Linked DNA regions of Mus musculus. The protein of the gene in region 1 interacts with the protein of each later gene in a pairwise test. Links are inferred from orthologs where the notes say so. Each region holds a gene or a part of one and is shown on either strand. Other genes may lie near its edges.

What was found.
Region 2: the proteins of Kat7 (region 1) and Ninl interact in a two-hybrid assay, tested with the Homo sapiens proteins (2 studies listed by BioGRID and IntAct). The two-hybrid records come from large-scale screens. The link is inferred for Mus musculus from reciprocal best matches to the Homo sapiens genes KAT7 and NINL.

What each region holds. Positions count from the first base shown.
Region 1 is NC_000077.6:95,307,331-95,311,683, reverse strand, and holds the start of Kat7 (histone acetyltransferase KAT7), read left to right. Parts: upstream 1-1,437; 5' UTR 1,438-1,634; coding exon 1,635-1,649; intron 1,650-1,985; exon of another isoform or gene 1,986-2,126; coding exon of another isoform or gene 2,127-2,147; exon of another isoform or gene 2,148-2,306; intron 2,307-4,353. UniProt on the Homo sapiens protein: Catalytic subunit of histone acetyltransferase HBO1 complexes, which specifically mediate acetylation of histone H3 at 'Lys-14' (H3K14ac), thereby regulating various processes, such as gene transcription, protein ubiquitination, immune regulation, stem cell pluripotent and self-renewal maintenance and embryonic development.
Region 2 is NC_000068.7:150,939,600-150,943,412, reverse strand, and holds part of Ninl (ninein-like protein), read left to right. Parts: intron 1-2,582; coding exon 2,583-2,741; intron 2,742-3,446; coding exon 3,447-3,560; intron 3,561-3,813. UniProt on the Homo sapiens protein: Involved in the microtubule organization in interphase cells. Overexpression induces the fragmentation of the Golgi, and causes lysosomes to disperse toward the cell periphery; it also interferes with mitotic spindle assembly.

The DNA.
Region 1 (4,353 bases):
TTTTTTTAACTCCGAAGAGTCCTCTGTTTAGCATGTCAATCAGGTTTGTATTCTGTTCTTAAAGCCTCTCTCCAGGTTAGCCAGCCTCAAATGGAAATTCTGATAGGGGCCTGTGGGGGTTCAGGGGATAAAAGCACTTGCTCTTTCAGCAAGCTGGATGACCCGAGTTTGATCCCAGAGACACCACAAAGGTGGAAGTTAGGAATCTATTCCCCAAAGTTGTCCTCTGAGCACTCACCTGGTCATGAGTGCGTGCTCAGCTCACACACACACACACACACAAATCTGGAACCAGAATTCTATCTTGGTAATTACTGAGGTTGCTTTGATTCCAGCAAGTCACTCTTGGTTCACCTTGGTTCTTTCAAGTCCTCTGAGGCTAAAACTTCAAGGCCTACAAACCACTTTCCAGACTTTTCTTTTTCGAGACAGGATCTAGCCTGGAACTGGCCATGTAGACCAGGCTGGCCGTAAGCTCATGATTTGGATCTGCCTGCTTCAAAAAGCATGCACCCCCACCCCCACCCCCCCACCTGGTTCCAGACTTTTCGTATAGCTCTTTCTTCTAGTCTTAATTTCTTCTTCTTATGGCCTTTTATTATTACTTGAATACCCACTCCCTTTCTAGTGTCTTTCAAAATACTATTTCTCTCTCCACTCAGTTCTTGGCTCTTGCATTTGTGCTACAGAGGTCACACGGGCTGAATGAGGTTCAACACTTCTCCGACTTTTGGTACAGCACCCTCACATTCAAACCACGTCCTCCGCCCCTCTCCGGGCCACCCAAAGATCTCAAACCAAAGCAGAGCACTGATAAGCCGGGGGCGTTTCACAACAGAGATAAACTGGAAATTCTTTGGCGCTCCGGCATCCTGAGAATGGCTCTGCATCATCTCATAACTTACTTCTTGTTCTCTTAACGCAAGGACAAGGCATAAAGAGAACACTCTACCCCACTTCAAGACCGACAACGACCCTGTCAATCCTTTATTCAAGCCCCATTCACACCACTCCGGAACACGGAATAGCTCTTACAGCAGTTCCTTGGGCAAAATATCTCTTGCCAGTTCGGAGTTTACAGAATGAACGGAAACGTCCTTCGGCCGACTAGGAAATGAAAGAGTTAAAGATCGACAACCTGATGGATTCTGGGGTTTTCCTCCCTCCACGCCACAAATTAAAACGACGAGGAAGGAAGAGTTTGCCCAATGTAAAGATGAAAACGGTTACCTTCAACTGCCAGACTTCTGCCCCAAACAATCATGGCTACCTAATCCCACACGAATGCCGCCTACCTAACTAAAAAGGTCTAGCCGAAGGTTTCACCACTGGTGCCGTCTCCTGCCCAATTCCAAAATGGCGCTGACTGGCCTCACTAAGAGTTTCGAGCTTCCCATGATCCTCACTGGCCTAAAGGTCAGGTGACGCAAGCCTCAGCCGGAAGTTAAGGAATAGGCGCTTCCAGCCCGCGGCGCTTGCGCAGAAGGCTCTAGACGCTGAGAGGTAGGAGGCACTTGGGATCGTCCGCAGGGTTTGGGACAGCTACAGAGGCCGCCACGGAGCCCGCCGGAGCCCCCGTTCCTGCTGGTGCTGCCGCCGCCCGAATCGGAACCGTCGGGCTGCAGCCGCCGGCAATGCCGCGAAGGAAGGTGAGAAATGGCAGAGAAGGGATGGCGGGTTTCTAAGGGGAGTCGATTGAGTAACGTGACGCGGTTGGCCACGCCTCGTCGTGCTTGGGTTCCAACTTTCTGGTCCCCCGAACCTAGCCTAGCTACTCTGTCTCCTCTCGGTACCAGACAGAAAAATGTGGGCCCGACCCTGGCCTCGGCCTATGCCTGTAACTATTCCCGCCCTCTGCTTGCCCGGATCGGAGGCGTTCTTGTTAATTGGTCGCGGAAATGTCTAGAAGCGTATTGATTGGATGGTGACGCCGCCTGTTTGGGCCCAACGGTCACCTCCCCGCGTGCGTGGGCGGTGTCTCGGTCTGGCCCCGGTGCTCTCCGACTGGCTGTGGCGAATGCTCTCCCTTCTCTTTATTGGCCCAGCTTTGCAGTCTGTTCTTGTGGCGGGTGCGGCTTAGCAAGGCCTGGATTGGGGCGACCAACGCCCCGCCCTTCCGGATAGAGATGGCGATAGGTGTTGTAAAGGCGAGTTGGGAAGACCACTTTCCTTTCCTGGTGGGGGGATTACAACAAAGCCGAGGATGGGTGGTTAGAAAGCCAGCGCCCACCCCCAAGGGATAGCTCGCAGGCCTGTTGCGTCTCAGTCACCGTCTTCCACCTATTTGTTCAGTTTGACATTTCCTGGTCAGTAAATGTTTGTTGAACTGTATGACATTTGCCCCATATGTTCAGTCGTAAAATGCAAAGAGCAGTGTTACGTGCTAGTTGCTAGGAATTCGAAAAGTATGCGTGATCACTGGCTTAAAGGGTTATCGCTGTTGAGAGAAGAACACAAAGAACCATAGTTCATACAGTCTCTGCTTGAAATTGTATACACTGTAAGAAAGCCGTTAACGTGGGAAATAAGTAAAGAGCTGATTTTCAGGGTTAAGCCAGGCAGAATTGATAGGTCATGGACGGGTGTCAGGGTCTTTGGCTGAGATGACCCTAAAGTTTGCCTTTTAGTGACATTCTGTGCCTCTATTTACTTGTGGTCAGATTTTTGAATGAAATATTTGGATGGATAGACGGTTGGTATTCATATTTCTGCAGAGATCACTCTTCATGGAAGCTTTCCAAGTTAAATATTTACATTAATGTCTCTTGCAATGACCAGAGTTGACAGGTAGTATTTTTTTAAAAGATTAATTTATGTATTTTATGTATGTGAGTACACTGTAGCTGTACAGATGGTTGTGAGCCTTCATGTGGTTGTTGGGAATTGAATTTTTAGGACCTCTGCTCACTCAGGCCCAAAGATTTATTTATTATTATACATGAGTACATTGTAGCTGAGTTTAGACGCACCAGAAGAGGGCACAGGTGTTTGTGAGCCACCATGTGGTTGCTGGGATTTGAACTCAGAACCCTCGGTAGAGCAGTCAGTGCTCTTAACCTGCTGAGCCATCTCATCAGCTCGACAGGTAGTATTTATATCCAGGCATACCAAATACAAGAGACAGACCTACTGGTTTGTTGGAATGATCTAGTCTCCTTTTAGCAGTTTCCAAATGTAAAAGTGGAGAATGTAAATTCTTCCTGGATGTTATGGTACAAGCCTTTAATTCCAGCACTTGGGAGGTGGATCTCTATAGTTTGAGGTACACATGGCTGATATGCTGGGGTGTCCTGACTCAAAAAGAAGAAGAAAATGTAAGTTCTTGCTGGGTATAGTGATACACACCTGTAGTTCTGGCATCCTGGAGGCTGAGGCAGGAGGCTCATCTTGAGCTTAAGGCAAACCTGGGTTATATAATAAATTCCAGGCCAGCCTGAGCTAAATAGCAAGAACCTATCTCAAAACCAACAAAACCCAAATGTAAATATGTTGGTAACTTGGTTGATGGCCAATCTGTCCTAATCTATCCTTAGGTTATTTAGTTTTTTTATATGCCTCATGTAGTGTGATACTAAATTTCTGTTTGCTAGAAAATATTAATGTTTTTAGTGTGGGTTGTTAATCACAGGATATATGTGTCCTCTGTAAGAATCTAGTAACTCCAAACATACTTGGCCCCAGGGAGCTTATTCTTTGAATAAAGCGTTGGGGCCTGGGACTAAGCTATAGCTCAGTGGGGTGTGGTTACTGCCGGGAAGCCCTGAGTTCAGTCCTTCGTCTGTCCCACTCCCTTTTCCTGCCAAAGATAGTAGGACTGAGTTTGAGGAGTTGTAGTGATTTCAGCAAGTACTCTTTGTCCAGCTTAGAAAAGAGCACGTGTCAGTGCTTACTAGGTAAAGTAATCTTCATGGCTCATCACCCTTCCAGAGGCCGAGAGTTATGGCTAGGGTGTGGCATGCGTTTTTCTGAGAACCTGACACGTGGGGCTGCAGGGATTGTTCAGCTGGTCAGAGTACTCATTGCTCTTGTAGAGGACTGGGTTCCAAGCACCTTGTTTCAAGCCTCACAACCGCTTATGACTCCAGTCCCAGGTGACTGGACAACCTCCCTTGACCTCCGAGGGCGTGTATGAGATCAATATACAGGCAAAACTTTCACACATACAGTAAAATAAATCTAATTTTTAAAAAGCCCGGTTTGAATACCTATTTAGTTTTTAGTATAAATTCCTTTCCAGCAGCACTTATAACATCCATGTGGAGAAACTTTGAGGACTGATGGTTAAGAAAATAATTTGTATCTTTTTTTTGGTTAATTTCTTTCAGTGGGTAAGAGCACCCGACTGCTCTTCCG
Region 2 (3,813 bases), on another chromosome or scaffold:
TGAACCCAGGAGGCAAATTCTACAAAGAAAGCTAAAGATTTAACTTAGAAATTTGGATGGTAGTTGCCTTATTCCCAGATGTTGCTGGCATCTGTAGGGCTCTAAGACCCTGTCTAGGCACCTTCCAGGGAGCGTACAACCCGAGTCACCAGGAAGCATCAGATAAACTCCAAATGACTAACTAGTAAAGGGGCTGGGGTTCTACTTGTCAGAAATGCCAGCAGTAAGAAGCCATGGCAACACCCTAGATTCAAGGATGATTCAGCATCATAGGAGGCACCAGGTTATTATTTGCTGGGGAAAAGGCTGAAAACTGTCACTGGGCAGAGGTCAAAACTGGGATTTGTGAGCCACCAGGGCTGCTGTCCTGAAGCAGAACCTAGAGTGGTGACAACGATGTGAGGAGTGTTCCTGTCCTCAGGAAACACCATGGGACTAGGCAAGGACATGTGTGCATCTGTGTGCATGTGAATATGTGTGCAGTCATACACGGTGCTTGTTGGCAAGAGTGGCATACCAGTCGGTGAAGATGCCATCATGGGTGCCTGGTTGAAAGGGTGAGCTTATTCTTTAGACTGCTCTGAGTTCAGTGTTATTTACAGAGACTTTAAATACTATCCTAGGAGAGGAATATTTCATTCCTGTTAATGAAATCAGAGCTTTCCTGGGAGACAATGTGAGTGTATATCAATACTGAAAGTGACTTTAAGTTTTGCCAAAGAACATACTGTTGGAGCAAGACATTCTCATACTAGCCTGCCAGCAGCTATGTGCTAACCTCAGTCTGAGATTATACAGAAGGGAGGAGTGACATGAATTACTGAGAACTCGAGAACAATGTGGAAACATGCTAACGGCATGGACCACAGCTGAAGCAGATCCTAGGTTCCATCATGTGTTTAATTGGCATGATGTTTTGTGGATCCCTAGAGAGGTGTTTGTGACCAGCAGTCCTACAAGTATATCATAGGTTACACTGACTCCAAACTGATGCTGTGGAAACAGAAGTGTTTTGTATGATGGTAATCTGTTTTGTTTTGTTTTGTTTTGTTTTGTTTTGTTTTGTTTTGTTAAAAACAGCCCTCCTATTAAAACAAACAATAGTTCCTAATAATCTGAGTGGTTAGGTTTTCCATGGTGAAAAAATGATGTAGGGCCAACTTGTGAGCTGCCATTCTGTACTGTGCTTGTACCTACACCTTTCACCCTTTCATCCATTCTCTCTGTAGGACAGTGGTTGTTAGGGCAAGCAAGATGCACAACTTGAAGACACTCCCTCCTCCTTCTGAAAGCTGCATTTGTGTATTTAGTAACTGGTAGGGACCCTTTTAAAAGATTCTCATACCTTAAGTTCATTCAAACTTTTTTTCCGGACTACTCTGGTTTGCATTGTATATGCACGTGGGTGGTACATTCACCTATGCAGGTATGTATGAAGAGTATCTTTCTCAACCACTTTTACATCTTAATTTTTGAGACAAGGTCTCTCACTGAACCTGGTGCTTGTTGTTTTGGCTAGAGTGGCCAGTAAGCCTGTAGGATGGTCCCACCTTCATCCCCAGTGCTGGGCTACAGATGCACACTGTTGCCGAGCTTCAAGCTAGTGCTGAGGATCCAAACTTAGGTGCTTAGATTTACACTGCAAAGACCTCACCCCAAATGAGCCATTTCCTCAGCCATATTTAGATTATTTTTAAATTGCTTAATATATTTTTAAAATAACCTTGGAGGGAATGATAAAGTCTAGAAGGCATCAGAAGGGTAGTCTGGTGGCTGTAGCACATAACAGCCTCTGGAGGGCTGGGTTGTCTCATCTTACAGGACAGACTGGAGTTTCTAGTTCTTAGCTCTGCTGGCCACTGACTGAGCTGGATCTTCCCCTGCGCTCTGTGTACAGCCTCTGCTCACTTGTCAGGCTTCTTTGATAACTCAAAATGTCTCCAGGAGTTGCAGGATGCACACAGCAAGTAAAGTCTCACCTGGTTGGAGAATTCTGGAATGATGTGAATGAAGCTGACATTTAGAAGCATTTTCTTAAACGAGTGTTTGACCTCCATATTCATATCCTTATTTCTCCGGTAAATATATAAAGACAGCATAGAGGCTGGCTGGCTGTTCAAGCCTTGGTAATCTTCCTCTGGCAACACCTCACAATCCGTAATTATTTCCCTTTAGCTTCAGTTGTACCAATGGCCTGGGTGCATCAGGCATAGCCGAGAAGACTGAGAGGGAGAACTTGAACTACTTTGATCAGTGTTTCTTTCTCCTGGAGGCTTGGGAGTTAGAGACTACACGTGTTTCTGTTCATAGTGATCTGTGACGTGTGAATTTCTGCTCATGCTCAAAAAAAAAGTTCTTCAGACAAAAATGATGTTTAGGAACGAAGCAGCTACAGGGAAAGATTCCCAGAAACCTTCTAGGTCCTGGATACATCCTGCTCTTTAGACTCAACTTCTTGTATATATTTATGGTACATTTCTCCTTTGGAGCTGAAGCTAAGGAAAGGTTTTCCTACTTTAGTTAAATCATTAATAAATTCATAACATGTACATAAAAATGTGTTTGAACTCTTTTTGCTATAGACTCAAAAGTACAAGGATGAAATGTCACAGCTCAACTGCAGGGTCCTTCAGCTGGAAGGAGAGCCTTCTGGTCTCCATACACAGAAGGAAGAGAACCACGGTGCTATCCAGGTGTTAATGAAGAAGCTGGAGGAGGCAGGGTGCCGGGAGGAGCAGCAGGTCAGGGGCTAGGCTGTCCCACAAACCTTGGTGGGTGGGTGGGTGGAAGGAGGGCCCACTGGGTAGTGGAGGCTGAGCAGTTAGGTGAGTACCCCCAAAAGTGAAATAAAGGGCAATTCTTCGAGAAATGGACCCGCCTGGACAGCTCTGGCAAAGCCACCGGGATGTAGAAAGGGGAGCTAATTGTGTCCCTGCAGTTCTCAGGAGAGTAAGTGGTAGGGTTCTCCAGCTTTCTAAAGTAAAATAAAGAGCAAGAGCCGAAGAACGTCCCTGTACATTGGCTTTATAATTTTGCTTGTGAAGGCTGCTTCTAAATGCATTATGGATTTATCTGGAAGTATTTTTATTGATGTCCTGTTTATAATAGGAAAACAGGACCAGAATCAATTTGAACATCAGCAGTAGGTGAACGAGTAGATGATGGTGCAGCCATTAGATACCGAGTTCTCAAATAACAGTGTTTGGGAATGATCCAGGTTCCTTAAGGAAGGCAGCACTGCAGGACACTATATGCTCTCTGATATGCGTTCACATTAGATGTGCACCTTATAGAAGAGGGGAAAGAAATTAAGTGTGGTCCTTCGGCTCGCAGGGTCATGGGAGATCATTTATCTTGTTTTTTCGTGTCTGTAACTTTCTGGTTTGTTTCTGTGTCAGGCTCTGCTTATAATTGTGAAAGTGTTTTTGTTTTGTTTTTATAAACAGGGTGATCAAATCCAAAACCTGAAAATTGAACTTGAACGTGTGAATGAGGAATGCCAGTACTTAAGACTGTCACAGGCAGAGCTGACAGAAAGCCTTGAAGAAAGTCGAAGCCAGGTGGGTTGGTTAAGATGGCTTGGGGCACTTGGTCCAATTCTGGGACATGAGAAATATCAACAGTGGGCTGACAGTTTCCATGACTCATCCAGACCCAAAATGTTACTATGCCAACCAAATGCTTCACAGCTGACCAGGAACTCATCAGGCTCAGACATATCCCTACTCCATTCATTGTTAACATGGACAGATCAGCTTTGCCACAGACAGGATCTCTTTTTTTTTTTTTTTTTTTTTTTTTGATTTTTTTTTT